Notamacropus eugenii: one gene and its partner. The protein of the gene in region 1 purifies or fractionates together with the protein of each later gene. This does not show direct contact. Links are inferred from orthologs where the notes say so. Each region holds a gene or a part of one and is shown in the gene's direction. Other genes may lie near its edges.

What was found. The genes of interacting proteins can lie anywhere in the genome.
Region 2: the proteins of PIM1 (region 1) and EDC3 purify together in Homo sapiens (affinity purification with mass spectrometry; 3 studies listed by BioGRID and IntAct, counting the BioPlex papers as one, with this or other methods). This does not show direct contact. The link is inferred for Notamacropus eugenii from reciprocal best matches to the Homo sapiens genes PIM1 and EDC3.

The regions. Positions count from the first base shown.
Region 1 is NC_092873.1:94,838,591-94,846,308, forward strand, and holds the start of PIM1 (serine/threonine-protein kinase pim-1), read left to right. Parts: upstream 1-4,459; coding exon 4,460-4,541; intron 4,542-4,795; coding exon 4,796-4,902; intron 4,903-5,062; coding exon 5,063-5,113; intron 5,114-5,205; coding exon 5,206-5,572; intron 5,573-7,718. UniProt on the Homo sapiens protein: Proto-oncogene with serine/threonine kinase activity involved in cell survival and cell proliferation and thus providing a selective advantage in tumorigenesis.
Region 2 is NC_092872.1:241,458,914-241,466,880, forward strand, and holds the start of EDC3 (enhancer of mRNA-decapping protein 3), read left to right. Parts: upstream 1-4,843; 5' UTR 4,844-4,925; exon of another isoform or gene 4,926-4,929; intron 4,930-5,651; exon of another isoform or gene 5,652-7,967. UniProt on the Homo sapiens protein: Binds single-stranded RNA. Involved in the process of mRNA degradation and in the positive regulation of mRNA decapping. May play a role in spermiogenesis and oogenesis.

The DNA.
Region 1 (7,718 bases):
CTGAGAGTGACATGTCTAAGGTCAAACAGCCACCATGTGTCAGAGGAGTCACTTGAGCTAAGGGAGGTCTTCTAGGCTTCAAGGCTGGCTCTCTACGTACTACTCTATGATGCCTCTCCTACAAGCACAGTTAGTACTCCATTTTTGATGCTGGGGAAACTGCAGCTCAGGAAGTTGAAAGGAGTTAGAGAGTAATTGATCATGAAGCTGGTAAAGACTCATGCAAAAGGGCTTACTCAGACAGTAGGATCTGCATAATACACACAACACTGCAACAAGGTTTAATATTGATCCTAAGATTTCTCTTAAAAGTCATCCTGTAAAGCTTCACTTTCTCCTTTCAATGAAAATAGGCAGCTTTAGTGAGCAGGGCTTTTAAAGGGTCTAAAAATCTTAGCTTCAAGCTCAGCTTTGATACAGGCTGGCTGTAAACCTGGATGAAGCCCTAAACCTCAGTGCTCCAGGCTACTCTCAATCAAGGAATATTTACTAAGAGCCTACTGCCTTCAAGGTATTGTGCTTATATGCTATTGAAAATGTAAAATAACAATAAAATGTAGCTATATACGCAAGGACAAATGGCTCATGTTTATATAATCTTTATAATTTACAAAGTTTACGGTCGCACACTTGGCAAAATACAGTGAGAACTCAAATCTTTATCATTTGAAGAGCAGTGCACTTAATATCAAAATCATACTGCCTCTGAGGCGGTTATGCTGGAGGTTAGGCAGACAATGGATAAAAAGTAAAACAGCAATAAATAACACAACAGTACAAGACATGCCACAAGGTTTATTTTTTATTATTATTTTATCACCAAATATGTAGAATAGGCAATAGGAGAGTAGAGTAGGCTAGGAAGGCTCCATGAAGGAGCTCAGAGCTGAATTTTTAAGGAGTAATTGTTTGGAGCAGCTAGTTTGCTCGGTGAATAGAGCACTGGTACTGGAGTCAGAAAGACCAGAGTTCAAATCCGGTCTCAGACACACTTACTTAGCTGTGCCCCTGGGCAAGTCACTTAACCTCCGTTTGCCTTAATACCCTGGCGGGGGAAATAGCAAACCACTCCAGGATCTTTGTCAAGAAAATTCCATAGACAGTATTGGTGTGTTATGGCCCACAGGGTAGAGAAGTCCCGACAAAACTCAACAATAACAGTACTTGATTAGGATAGAGGAAGCGATGAGGTTGAAAAATGCAAAGCATATTTAGGAATATAATAGGATCCTAGGAGATAGAACAAATCCAATTTAGATTGAAGTGATAGGCCCTGAGATCAAGGTTCCTGAGAAATAAGGCCTGTCTGGAAGGCTGGGCCAAGTTAAAGAGTTTGGAGTCAGTTAGTCTTTTAGTGTATTCATTCATCATCCATTTTAATAATATGTACAAAGGCAATGAATGTTGGGACAAACTATGTCTCATTGTCTTAACATCAAACATTAGATTTCAGCACCAGTGTGGTGGATTGGGAGTCGAAAGACCTGGATTTTAAAATTCTATTTCAGACACTTACTATCTGAGTGCTAACAGACAAATGAGAACCTCTCAGAGTTTGGTTGGATACTATTTGTACTTAAGTCAAGGGATTGTTCTGAGGAAATGATACAAATGTGAGTTATTCTTAATTAATCCATAACACACAAACAAGAAAATGAAAGGAAATTGACTAACAAATGTGCTACATAAATAACATGAGCAAATAACAGCGCCAGGTTTTTAGTAAAATATGTAAACGTTACAGTTGACAGTGGTTGTCCGTCATTCAGACACTTCCCTATTTTTCCTTTCAAGCAGCAGCAACCTAAGCATGAAGTATTTAAAATAAAATCCTGCTCACTAAACAGTTTTATTTTCAAACCTACTATGTTCAAGATATGTGAAGGAGGAATTAAGGAAAAAGTGATAGTGCTATGCATTTAGACCATACAAAGACAAAACAGCTCCTACCCTCAAGCAGCTTACTAACGTAAGTACTGAAGGGATAAAACACCTGTGCCCACAAATGAAAATACAAAGAAATTTCAGAATGGACTAGAGGAATGGGATCTGAACTTTTGAAGGAAACCTGGAATTCCAGAAAGAAATAAGGGGAGAAGTGCATTCCAAGCCCAGCAGGGCAACCTCTGCAAAGGAGATGCAGATTATACTAACAGAGGTAATAAAAGGGAACAATATGAAATAAATTCAGAATCATAGGTGGGAGCCTGATTTTGGAGGTGCTCTTTCATTGGAAAATCCCTGCCAGATGGAGGAATTTGTATTTTGTCCTGGAGGCAGCAGGGAGCTACGGAAGACTTTGGAAGAGAGGAATGGGGAAACTTAGATCAGCAGGATGGAGGCTGGATTGGAGAAGGGTGACTGGAAGTTGAGGAACGAATTAGAAGGGATGTGACTGGGTGATAATGAAGGATGCTGAAAGCACCAGGTGGAGGGGAGCAAAGGGAGGGAGGTGAGTCCACGACGTCTGGAGCGAGGTGGGAACCCGGACGCCTTCAGCAGAAGTAGAGAAGTTTGCGGGATGCTTCGGGGCGGTGGCACGCTTAGTGAATTCCGTTTCGGACCTGTGGAGTCCGGGTGGAGGTGCTCCGTTCTCATCCGCGCTCCCCCCCGTCATCTTAACTCAGTGTGTTTCATGGTTAGACATCCTCTTAAAGGAAGGAGGGAAAATTCAGTGGCTCCTTTCGCACTTTGTTAGCAGTTAGTGCACGGTTAGGAAGGTGGGGCCGGAGCAGGCTCGGGACGAGCAACATAGTAGCAACAAAGCTGGGTGTGGCCAGGGTGGGGGAGGGAGGTGAAAACTGTGAATGAAACCGGGAGCTTCCGATCCAGATGGGCTGGGACTCCGCTCGCAGGAGCGGGATGTCCCCGTGCCACCGCACCCTGCGCAGGACCCGGGCTGAACCGCGTCTGGAGCGGAGGCGGGGATGACGGCTACCCTGGCCCTCTTTTCTTCTTTTTAATTGTACAAAGTATCTAAATGCCACCTCTTGTAGAAAGGCTGAAATCATCCGGATGGATAAATAACCCTTCCCTTGGTTTTTGAGAGTTCGGAGCCCACTTTTGTTCCAAAGACCTATGAGACATCCCCATTCCTTTGGTGACTCACAGCCCTGCAGTGCCACCCTCCACCCCCTCACCCGCACCGATGGGCGCTTGCCCTTCAACCGCGGGCTCCCCGGGAGCGAAGCCCGCGTCCACTGAGCCAGGCAGAGCGGGCATGGAGGTCACGCACACACAAACGCACACACACAAAGACACTCACCCCCCGTCCCCGACCACCCTGCTCGACATACACACCCAACCCCCTCCGCTGCCACCAATCGTCCCCGAACTTGGTCTACGGCAAGCCTGACCCCAAGGCTCTACCGCATAGAGAAAGAGAACGGGGCAGAGGAGAAGAAGAGACAGAGAAAGGGAAAGAAAGGAGAGAGGGGAGAGGGGGGAAGGTGGGGGAGAGAGGGAGGAGATGGAGAGAGAGAGGGAGGGAGAAAGAGGGAGAGAGAGGGAGAGGTGGGCAGACCCCAAGCTTCCTTTGATGGCTTTTGTTATTGTTTGGGTTTGAATTGATAAGCCCCTCCCCATCCTTCCTCCCCGTGGCCCTGCACCCGGCTCCCGCCTCCTCCTCTCGGAGCCCGCACTTCTCTCGCCCCTCCCCCTCCATTTTGGCGCCTTTTCCTTCCCGCCACGTCGAGGCGGCGTAGCTACCATTCTGACGGTGGGGGGAGGGGGCCTCTGGGGGCGGGGCATTTGCTTTATGCAGATCCGCTGGGCTCTGGTTGGCTGGGGGCGGCCTTGCGGGGGCGGGGTTTGGTCGTGCCGGCCGTGCGGTGGGGAATTCTCCTTCCCAGCTGCTTTCCCCACCCTCCACCCCCCCTTGTCTTCCCACCAGCGACTCGGCAGCCGGGCGCCCCGCCCCCGACCGCCCCGCCCAGCCTCCCGGAGAGGCCCCGCCCGTCCGCTCGCGCGCCCGCCCCCCGCCCCCCCGCTCCCGCGCGCTACGCCCCCTTTACTCCTGGCTGCCGGGCGAGCCGGGCGTCTGCGGCGGCGGCGGCAGAAGCGGCGGCGGTGGCGGTGGCGGTGGCGGCGGCGGAAGAAGTCTAAGAAACAGCAGGGACGGCGGCGGCGGCTCCCGGGGCAGAGGCGGCGGCAGCAGCAGCGGCAGCCCGAGCAGCCCCAGCCCGAGCAGCCCCAGCCCGAGCAGCCGCAGCACCAGCCGCAGCAGCAGCAGCAGCAGCGGCAGCGGCGGCGGCGGCGGAGGCAGCGGCGGCGGCAGCAGCGACGGGCCGGCTTCTGCAGCGGCGAGCTCGGCACCGCAGCGCCGCGGGCTCCGCTGCGGCACACTGATCCCGCCAAGCCGCCCCGGCAGCGCCCCCACCCCAATCCCCGCCTGCCCCCCCACGCTCCGCCCGGCCCCAGCGGCGTCCGCCCCATCGCCCTGTCACCCCTGTACCCTGGGATGCTGCTGTCCAAGATCAACTCCCTGGCCCACCTGTGCTCCGGGCCCTGCGTGGAGCTGCACCCGGCCAAGCTGCCTCCCGGTGAGGACCCACCCCGGGGTGGAGGGCGGGGACCCGCACCGGACCGCACCGGACCTACGGGGCAGGGAGGACGGCGGGGTCAGGGGCGGGGAGCCGGGGCAGGGTGCCCGCCGGCAGGGCAGAGCCGGCGAGGACGAGGACGCTTGGGGAAGGGGCGTCCCGGGAGGAAAGGAGATGCGGGCACTGACGGGGGGGTGCCGGGATGGGCAGGGGGCCGCTTCCAACAGTCCCTGACGGGGCTTTTTCCTCCGTAGGGAAAGAAAAGGAGCCCCTGGAGAAGCAGTACCAGGTGGGCCCGCTGCTGGGCAGCGGTGGCTTTGGGTCGGTCTACTCGGGCACCCGGCTGGCAGATGGCGCGCCGGTAAGCGGGCTCCGAAAACGCCGGGGAGCCCTCCCTCGACTCCGCCTGGCCCCGGGTCCGGCTCGGAGTGGAGGGGGAGGCGGAGGGAGAGCTGTGCGGGGGCGGGCCTGGGGAGGGGGCTCGGCGCTAACCTCCGACCTTCCCCTTGGGGGCTTTGCAGGTTGCTATCAAGCACGTGGACCGGGACAGGATCTCGGACTGGGGGGAGCTGGTAAGTGCCTGGGACCCGTGTCTTTGGGGGTGGGGGCGTGAGCCTGGCTGTGTCCCCGCGTGTCTCCTGACCCCCGTGACTCTTGTCCGCAGCCCAATGGCAGCCGAGTGCCCATGGAAATTCTCCTGTTGAAGAAAGTGAGTTCGGGGTTCCCGGGGGTCATCCGACTTCTGGACTGGTTCGAGAGGCCCGACAGCTTCATCCTGGTGCTGGAGCGCCCGGAGCCGGTCCAGGACCTCTTCGACTTCATCACGGAGAGGGGAGCCCTGCAGGAGGAGCTGGCCCGGAGCTTCTTCTGGCAGGTGCTGGAGGCTGTCAGACACTGCCACAGTTGTGGGGTGCTGCACCGAGACATCAAGGACGAAAACATTCTCATCGACCTCAACCGGGGGGAGCTCAAGCTGATTGACTTCGGGTCCGGGGCGCTGCTCAAGGACACCGTCTACACCGACTTTGACGGTGAGTGGAGACCCCGGGAAAAGGCAGGTGCTGCCCTGACCTACAACTGTCCCCCTCCTCAGGGGCCTTCTTCGCCGACCTTTTTCCAAAGGTCATCTTGCCTGGCTGGAAGAAGCGGGGCCGCTTCCAGAGGGTGGGGCGGGAGACAGCAGACCTTGGAAGTTGTGCTGTGCGCTTAGAGGAGACCCCCGACCTAGCCTTTAGGGCTTTGATAGGCTCAGAAAGGAGCGAGCTTCTGCTGTCTGTATCGAGAACCTGAGTTGTGGCGTTCCCCTCCTAACCTGCCCGCTTAGTTCACGGGGAGACCGGCTTCCACCAAACCTGACTTGTCATAGCCCAGATTTTAAAATCCTGACCCACTTTCCCGAGCACTGAGGGGGTGTTGAGGACAGAGTGATGAGGGGAGGGAGAAAGGGCTTTGGAAAGGGAATTTGCTGGTAGTTTCTTGTGGGTGGTCTCGGTTTATTTTTCTTTTGAACTAGCTGAGTCAGTCAGGAAGGAGAAACTGTTCTCTTGTCTTTTCACTAAATTATTCATTCTGCTGGTAAAGGTGGTAGTGGTTTGTTTTTGTTTTTCAGTTCAGGGATGAATGTTGTGAAATAAGATCTGTAGATTTTAAAATGAGTTCATTCTGCCCCCACCCCCTCCCGCTTGATCTCACCACTCTCCCCTCGCCCGGTGCCAAACAGAGGCATTAGGGTAAGGGGAGGGGTTTGGGGCTGGTCCTTTCTGCAGCAGGGAGGAATGTGGGAGCTTCCCTGCACTTGACATCAAAGAATAGGAGGGGTGGGGAATGATCTGAGAGGTTGAGGCGAGCAAACTGCTGACTTTCAAAACCTGTGACTCGGGCTTGCGGTTTGTGTTTATTTGCCCTTGGAAGATGCTGGGCCTGGGCTGCATTTTTTGTATTTCACAGTTAATGGCTGGCAGGACCCTCCCACCTTTCCAGGCCTCTGCTGCCCCCTGGTGAGCGAGAAGCAGGGGTGTGCCTTTTTTTTTTTTACAACCCAAAGTTTGTAAACAGGAATCACGTGGCCTAGAAACCAGCCCTACTGCTCTGACCTCAGCCTACTCTTCCTGCCTGGGGAAGAGGAGGTGGTGGCCAGGAGAAGAGGGCGTGGGCTTGGGCTAAGCACATGCTCTGGGCATAATAGCATTTACTAGGGCATGGGAGCCCAATTTCTGATGTCATGGAAGTGTACCAATTTGGATGAGAGTCAAGTGTTGGCAACATTTGAATTTACTTTTAAGAATAGTTGGTTGTAAGTATGTCAGATTTCCTTAAGACCTACTCTGATTTTTATTATGGGTGGTCTCCTGAAAGGTGGGGGGGCAGGTTCGACCTTGGCATTTAGATTTGAAAAATGGGCTTAAGAGATCTAGTCCAAATCTCCTTTTTTACCAAAGAGGAAACGTGAGACTCAGAAGAATCCCTCATTTACCAGTTCTCCGAATGTGGTCAGATGCTTTCTGAGCATCAGTTTCCCTGTCTGTAAAATGGAGCTTTTATTTGTACATCTGCTTCAGCACAAGGATATTTTAAAAGTTTTTTTAAATTATTGAAATCTGAAATCACATTCTAGATTACTTGAAAGTTTTAAATTCTTATATTTAAACATAAGCTTAATGTTTTCAGTTCTGGATATGGTGCCAAAGAAGAAAGGAACCTAAAAGCAGTGATAGCTTTTTTAATTGTTTATTTTTAGCATTTTTTTAAAAATTTTGAGTCCTGCATTTTTTCCTCCTCTCCCACCCATTGAGAAGACAAGCAAAAGGTAGCAGTTATACTTAAGAAGTCAAGTCATAGATATTCCAAGTGGTAGTCCAGGTTGTCTCTTGGAAATTATTAATTGTTCATAATAAGTGTTTCTGTCATAATAGGTTCTGTACCCCCAAAAGGAAAAAAGTTGGGATTCAAACTCTATTCCCTATATATTCTAGCATATAAATTTGGTGATCTGTTTGTGTTTGGTGTCTATCTTCTTTACCAAAAAAAAAAAAAGTCCTATTTCTTGAAGCAAATTTTTACAGAACTTAAGTTTATTGTTAGACATCCAGGAAATATCATGAGCCACCTACTATTCCCTTATTAATCCTTAACAAACACTTAGCACTCGCAGTATGAAATACTTGGGTTAGAAAACTG
Region 2 (7,967 bases), on another chromosome or scaffold:
ACTTAGAGCTTAGTCAGACATCCCTGGTCATCACCAGTCATCTTAACTTTTGTCTTGCCACTGGACTTCAGTGACCCAGGAAGAGAGAGTAAGGCTTTTTGGAGGCTTTGTGCAACTCTGCCTCACTTAAATCCAATTCACAAATCAGTCAAGAAATCACCTGTGATATCACTGGTTGTCTTTGAAATGAAGGACAAACAATGACAACAAACAACCACCACAATCTCTGACTCATACCGTCTAGCTGATCCTAGCAAGCCAGTTATATTTCTATTGGTTCTGGCTACTCTCAAAGACTATAACTTGCTGACCGGTTGCTGTGTTAGTAGAAGGAATTCCTTCCCTAGGAATTTCCTTCACTAATGAAACTAAAGGTTTAGTCAAACACACACATACATACATAGAAAACAACCATATAAGGTACTAAATGAAAGTTCTCATTCTCAAAAGGCTTACTTTCTACTAAGTGTGTGTCTCTCTGTACGTGTATTGGGGGAAGCAGGTAGAACTTGTACAAAGGGACCTTCAAATGTCAGGTATGAGCAACAGAAAGAAGGCAGGTGAGCTTGATCTCAGAGCTCTGGAAGTGGGAGTAAGTTCAAGTAATCCAAGATGGCCCTTGAAAGAAGCTATTGTTTTGATGAGGTAGAGAGGTGAGGCAGAAGCAGATTCCAGGCAAGCAGAGTAGTCTGTGCAAAGGCAAGAGATACTGGAGGTGGAATATTGAGTTCAGGGACCTGAATGGGCCAGTTTGGCTCAGATAGAGCACGTGAAAGGAAGAAATATGAAACAAATCTAGAAAGGCACATAGCCTTTCAATGTCCACCATGACCAGAGACTTCGTATTTTATCCTAGGGATAACAGGGAGCCACTGATAGGTCTAAAGCTTGACAGTGATGTGGTCAGTCTTGGAGAACATGATGCTGCTCAAGCGCAAGACACAGGGATCAGGAGGCACTTGACCATTTGCAGTTTCTCTTTTCTGGTGGCTACAGGGAAAGGAGGAGTTGGCTTATGGAATGATATCTCATTCCCATTCCCTTTGCTTTATAACCTGATTTGGTTTTTTTTAATAGTTTTTTTTCCTAACTACATGTAAAAGCAATTTTTAACATTTTTTAAAATAAAATTTTGAGCTCTAAATTTTCTCCCTACTTCCCTATTCTCCCCCCTCCCTAAAATGGTAAGCAATTTGATATAGATTATATATGCAATCATGTAAAACCTATTTTCATATTAGTCATATTGTGAAAGAAGAAACAATCTGTAAAAAAGTACACACACACAAGTGAAAATAGTATGCTTCTATCTCCATAGTTCTTTCTCTGGATATGGATAGCATTTTCCTTCCTTAGTCCTTTGGAATTGTCTTGGATCATTGTATTGCCAAGAAGAGCTAAGTCCATCACAGTTGATCATTCCACAATGTTGCTCTTACTGTGTACAACGTTCTCCTGGTTTTGTTCACTTTACTCAGCATCAGTTCAAGTAAGTCTTTCCAGGTTTTTCTGAAATCTGCCTGCTCATCATTTCCTATAGCACAATAGTATTCCATTACATTCATATACCACAGCTTGTTCAGCCATTCCCCAATTGATGGAAATCCTCTGAATTTCCAATTCTTTGCCATCACAAAAAGGGCTGCTATACATTTGTAAACATGGATCCTTTTTCCATTTTTATCTCTTTGGGATACAGACCTGGAAGTGGTACTGCTGGGTCAAAGGGTATGCACAGTTTTATAGCCCTTGAAGCATAGTTCCAAAGTGCTCTTCAGAAAGACTGGATCAGTTCACAACTCCACCAATAGTGCATTAGTGTTCCTTTTTCCCCATGACCTTTCCAACATTCATCATTTTCCTTTTCTGTCATATTAGCCAATCTGATAGGTGTGAGGTAGTACCTCAGAACTGTTTTAATTTGCATTTCTCTAATAATGATTTACAGCATTTTTATAGGACTACAGCTTTGATTTCTTCATCTGAAAACTGCCTGTTCATATCCTTTGACCACTTATCAATTGGAGAATGACTTGTATTTCTATAAATTTGACTCAGTTCTCTATGTATTTCAGAAATGAGCCTTTTTTCAGAAACACTTGCTGTAAAAATTGTTTCCCAGCTTTCTGCTTTCCTTCTAATCTTGCTTGCATTGGTTTTGTGCAAAACTTTTTAAATTTAATATAATCAAAATTATCCATTTTACATCTTGGAATGCTTTCTATTTCTTGTTTGTTCATAAGACCTGACAGGTAAACTATTCCCAGCTCTCCTAAATTGCTTATGGCATCACTCTTTATATCTAAATCATGTACCCATTTTGCTGGTCCCTGTTTTTTGAACAGTGAACTATAACCACAGGGAACTGGGATAAAACTGGACATAGGTCAAGTTATCTGGAACACTTAGATTACAGACAACCAGGCTGATGCTTTGTCCAGTTGAGGTGCTAGTTAGGGTAAGATCACTGTTATGCAAGTTTTAATTACTAGTTTGCAGGACAGAGGCACATAAATCATTAGCATGGGAGACTCCCAAGTCTGCATGCAAGTCCCTAGGCCTGCCTGAGAACTAGGGACTTGGATTCTTCAGGATTCATGGAACTGTTTAAGCCCCAGGACAGGGGTAAAGCATAAGTCTGGGAGTATCATAGAAAAAGGTGTAGTGTTACCTAGCAGCTTGATCTGTCAGGGGGAATGGAAATCCCAGGTGGGAAAGAGGAGTGTGAAACTGATCAAAGCAGGAATATATCATCACTGCAAGGCAGACATCATACAGAATCCTTGGAGCTGGGAAGCCTCTGCGCATCAGCCATCTCAGACCTCTTTGACTCTCTTGGAAAGGGAATATGTGTCTCACTGTCTGGATTCTTCTTGGATATATTCAGAGATGGAAACTCCACACCTTTCCATTATTTGCTCAGTCTAGTGTTTGTTTTCTCTCAATGAAAACAATGTAACTTCCTCCAGTTTTAAGACAATTTTCACTTGTTAAGGCTTCTGTGTATACAAAGATATGACCATGGGTTCCTGAAAGTATCATTAATCAACAAACAAGACTTTATTAAGCTCCTACTGTGTGTCAGGAGAGGCAGTATGGTGTAGTGGAGAGAGAACCACCTCAAAGACAGGAACAACTGGGTTCCAATTCTGCCTCTGATATACACTGGAAAGACAAGATTAGGCAGAGTCTGTCTGAGAAAGATCTAAGGGTTTTGGTGAACTACAAGCTCAGTGTCAATGACCAGCAGGCTAGCACCCTGAATTATTGGAGGCAATGGAGCCAGGAGAGACTGTGTCTGCAGTACTGGCACCACAATATAGGATGGATGATAAGCCGAAGAGTGTCCTGACAAGGGTTCCTTTAAGGTGTAATGAATAAAGTAATAATAAATTTAATAATATAAATAAAAAAATAAAAGGATGGCCATTTGGCCAGCTCTCTTAGACCAAAGATCCCTCATGGTGGTAGGCTCACAGTTTACATGCCCTTTGAAGAATCAGTGTTCTTGAGGGGGTGCCTAATCAGCTCTGTTTGGTTAACACAATGGGAGGTATGGGCTATATTAAAATGAAAATCTTGGGGGTAAAAGTTCACTCAAATCTTGGTCAAAGATATATCAATTTCCATATCACCTGTCTTGATAATAGGGGGACTCAACCTTTCCCTAGATCTGTCAGAGCAAACACAGTGAGCAAAAATGCATCTATCAGCCCAAACTTAGAATTTCTTTTACTGTCTGATTAAATCTTGGCCTCGGTAAATCTCTAAGAGGGATTTCCCACACTGGTTGGTTTCTGGATGAGGAAGTAGAAAAGGGGAAAAACCCTGGTCCTAATATAATAATTAAATATGAGAAATATTAATTTCTCACAGTCATGCTACACGTTGTAATGTTGATCAGCTTTGAAAAAGTTGGCCACTCTGATCATTACAATGTTCCAAGACAATTCCAAAGAATTCATGAAGAAAAATACTAACTCCAGAAAGAGAACTGATGAACTCTGAGGCAAATTGAAGTATAATTTTCTTGCTTTCTTTTTTTTTCCTTTTGTGATAAGGCTCATATGGAAAGGTTTGCATGATTTCAAACATATAATTGATATCATGATTGTCCTCCCAGTGAGTGGTAGAGGAGGTGGGAGTGAGATAATTTGGAACTCAAATTTTTTTAAATGTTTAAAATAGTAAAATAAAATGTTTTTTAAAAAGGAAAATGCCATATGAGGATAGACCGAAGGAATTAGAAGTGCTTAGACTATAGAAGACTGGGGGTGGGGTAGGGAGTTTTGGAAAGGGCTATCTCAAGGAATAAGGATTTGACTTTTCTTTTCCCTAAAAGGCAGAACTAGAAGCAGGGCGTAAAAGTTGCAAAGAGGTATATTAAGGCAAATGTAAAGAAAAATTTCATCACCACTAGGACTATACATTATGTAAACACATATATAAACATTAGAGCTGTCACAAAGTGGAATGGGGTGCGGGGAGGGGGCTCTGTAGGGAATAGAGTTCATCCCATCACTCCTCAAGCCCAGGCTGGATTTGAACTCAGGACTCTGTTAGGTCTCGCCCAGCTCTATCCTCTTCCTCCCCCACATAGACCATCACGCTCATCACCGTTTCCACTGCTCTGGAAGCACTTTAGAGTCTCTCGTTTGGTTCCCACAACCACGCTAGGAGGTTACTGCGCCCATTTGGTAGATGAAGAAACACGAAGCACGTAGAAGATGGGGTCAACCGACCGGGAAGGTTTTGGGATCCACGCCGCTCGTCTAGCCCCGCCCCCGGCCCCGCCCCCGTAGCCCTCCCCGCTCCCGGCGGCCGTTGTCCCGGTTGCCCCGGCGACGCGGCGGATGTGACGGCATGACGTCGGCGTGGGGACGCTCGGGCACTTCCGGCCGACGGCGGGCGGCGGCGGCGCTGGGGTCTGTAAGTGTGTGGGGCGGTGCGGAGGCAGCGGCCTCCTCGGCTCGCTCTCTCTCCCGCCCTCCCTTCTTCCCTGCCCCTCGGGCTCCCCCCGCCTGGGCCCCAGGCCCGGCCCAGTCCGGCGCGGTGGCCGGACCTCAGGTGCGGGCAGGCCGCGCGAGAGCGACCGACCGTACTGAACCAAGCCCGCCTCCCTCCTGCCCGCGGGCCTCGGGGGACGGGGGGAGGGGCGCAGCACCCGAGGCTTGGGCTGCGAGGGGGGCGTCTTGCTGCGAGACCTGGGCGGGTGGCTGCTCCTCTACGACCGTCGGTGTCCTTATCTCCCCAGCGAGGGGCTCGAGTTTCTCTCTGTGGCCCCTCCTTCCAGCCCTAGCCGCCCGTGGCCCCGTGGGCTGAGCAGGGGTGCTTGCGGGGGGGCCCGGAGGCTGGAATGGGAGCCAGAGATCCCCAAGGGCCCTGGGGTTCCCAACCCTGAACCACGCACTCCTTTCGGAAGGGATAGGTCCTTGCACCCATGCCGGGCGAGGACCGAGGAGGGGAGAAGTTACTCGTGAAATTCCTAACACCTGGGGCGGGGTGGGGAAGGGGCTGGGCCCGCTCCATGTGGACACCCCTCCCCCCCAAACAGTTTCCCTGCTCCCTTCCTGACGTGGTACTGATGAAGCATCTCCAAAGTTTTGCTCAGATCTGAGATTCTTGTTTGACTCCATAGTGGTTGGGTGTGTTATTCCATATTATCCTCTCACTCGTGAAATAGTTTATTCCTAAATTATGAAAGATATGATTCCAGCTTTCTTAGGAAATTTATTGTAGAATTAAAGGGATGACTAAACTGGACACTTTATTTGATCGTGGTGACTGATATTCACACCAGAGTTTGTATTTGACAGGGGCCAGTTAATTTTTCATTAGCTCTGCCTTATTCCACAGCGATGTACTGCACCACTAGCTGACTAGCTGTCTTTTATATGCACATTAATCAGAGCCTGTTGTCACTATTATGAAATTAAGTCATTCCTGTTTTATGAAGTGTGGCTTTAAGCATTGTTAGTTAGCTCCTTAATAGAGGTTTTCTCAGTTTGAAGTGAAAATGAGGTTTCATTTTTTGGGGGGGAGGGAGGAGCTGTAACTATGACCCTTTACATTTTGGGAGGACTGTGTGGCTTAAAGTAGGCAGGTCACTTAAACTCTCTGAAATCTTTGATCTGCAAAATTCAGGGAGTTGAACTACATGATTTCTACAGTCTTTTCCATTTCTAAAGCATCTGGGTCTATCAAAGGCAGATAGCAGCTCATTGTAATGAAGGATTTCCTAATAACCAGCTGTCCAGCAGTGGATTATGAGATAATTTTTACAGTTTGCGAATCCGTGAAACTGAAAGTAATGACATTCAGGATGTTATCTTTCTCTTCTTAGCTAGAGAAACAGATTTCCAGATGAGTGGAAAATACATGATTTTTCCAAAGAAGACCACTATGTGCTACATATTATATATACAGGAGCAAGTCTCTGTTTGGTCTCTATATAGTCCTTGGTAGTCCAAGATGGTGCAGCTAATTATGCTGCTGTTTGTGTAGACCTGAAGTGCCTAGTATGTTCGAGACAATAAAACAATCTCTCCCCTCAAGCTTATGTTCTATCTTCCAGCTTGTACACAGATAAGTGTAGAGGAAAATTGAGGAGGCAAAGAAATCCAGGGAGCAAAGGCATCATGGAAGGCTTCATGAGGAACTGGCGCATTAACTAAGTCTTGGAGAATGCCAAATTCTGAGGCAATGAATGCACAGAAGAGAGAAGGGATCAAGTGAAGGGAGCAACACTAGTTTGGCTAGAATGTAGAGTTCTTGAAAGGGTTTGTACAAAATAAAGCTGAGAAGGCTGGATGGGAGCAAGACTGTGGAGGGTATAAATGCCTGGCCAGAAGTTTGTGCTTTTGCCTATGGGCACTAGGAACCCCTAAGGTTTTTGAGCATGAAAGACACATGGTCAGATATTTGTCCTAGTTGTGATGAAGAAGCAGCAAATTTGTGACTTGTATATTTTTTCTGTGTGGACTACACAAGTATCATGGATCTCTACCCTCAGGTCCTGTCCTGCCTCCAGTTTGCAGGTTCTGTTATTGTTTATAACATAGCATCATTTCTGAAATTACTTAAGCTAAAAAGTAGGATTATGACTGTTGAGTACTTTGTAGTCTTTGAAGTTGTGTTTTAGATTGGAAAGGAATGTGACTACTTTAAAATAAACAAAGTATTCCATGTGCTTTGTTTTGTTTCATTAGTGGATACAGTACTGAAAGACTCAGGATATGATTTCTTCCCATGTCTAGTTTCTACTCAGATCCCTTCTGTCAGTATTGATTTTGTGTCTCTAGAACCTATCTATCCCAGGAGTACAGATTGCCCCTTGCAAGGTCTATGATAGACTGATGGCCTCCACTTGTTTACAAGGGGTGAATACAGCTACCATGTAGAGTGAAGTCCATATCCACTTAATAGTACTTTATACCAAGTAACAAGGCTCTGGTTTTTCTGTTTCCCACCTCCAGGTTTGCTCATCTTTTTTCCCTTCCTTGGAATTTGAGCCTCCTCCCAAGTTGGCTTAGTCTTTGAGCTGAAATCCAGCTACCTACTGTATCCCTTCAACCTTTTATGACTCCTGGCATTCACAGGGTTCTTTCCTCTTGATTCCTAGATCATGTATAGTTAATACCATTTATATGATACATGTCCTACAGCAAGTGCCCAGGGTGGTAGTGATTTGTGTGTGTCCTATCTCCTCAATGAGAGTGTTTAGATTGGGGTAGCATCAACAGTGGCTGAAATCGTACCTGGAGTATGATTTGGAAGTAGGGGCCAGACGGCCAGTTAGAAGGCATTTCTGTCACTGTGGAATGGAGCAGAGAGGGGCTCACTAAGCATTTGCTGAAACAAGGAAGGTAGTTGCATATTCTTTGTCCTCCCTGAGTTTACCTCAGGGTGCTCTTCCTGAACAGGCTGTTGTGATACATCACATCCTGTGGAGCCTGAGTGTTTTAACT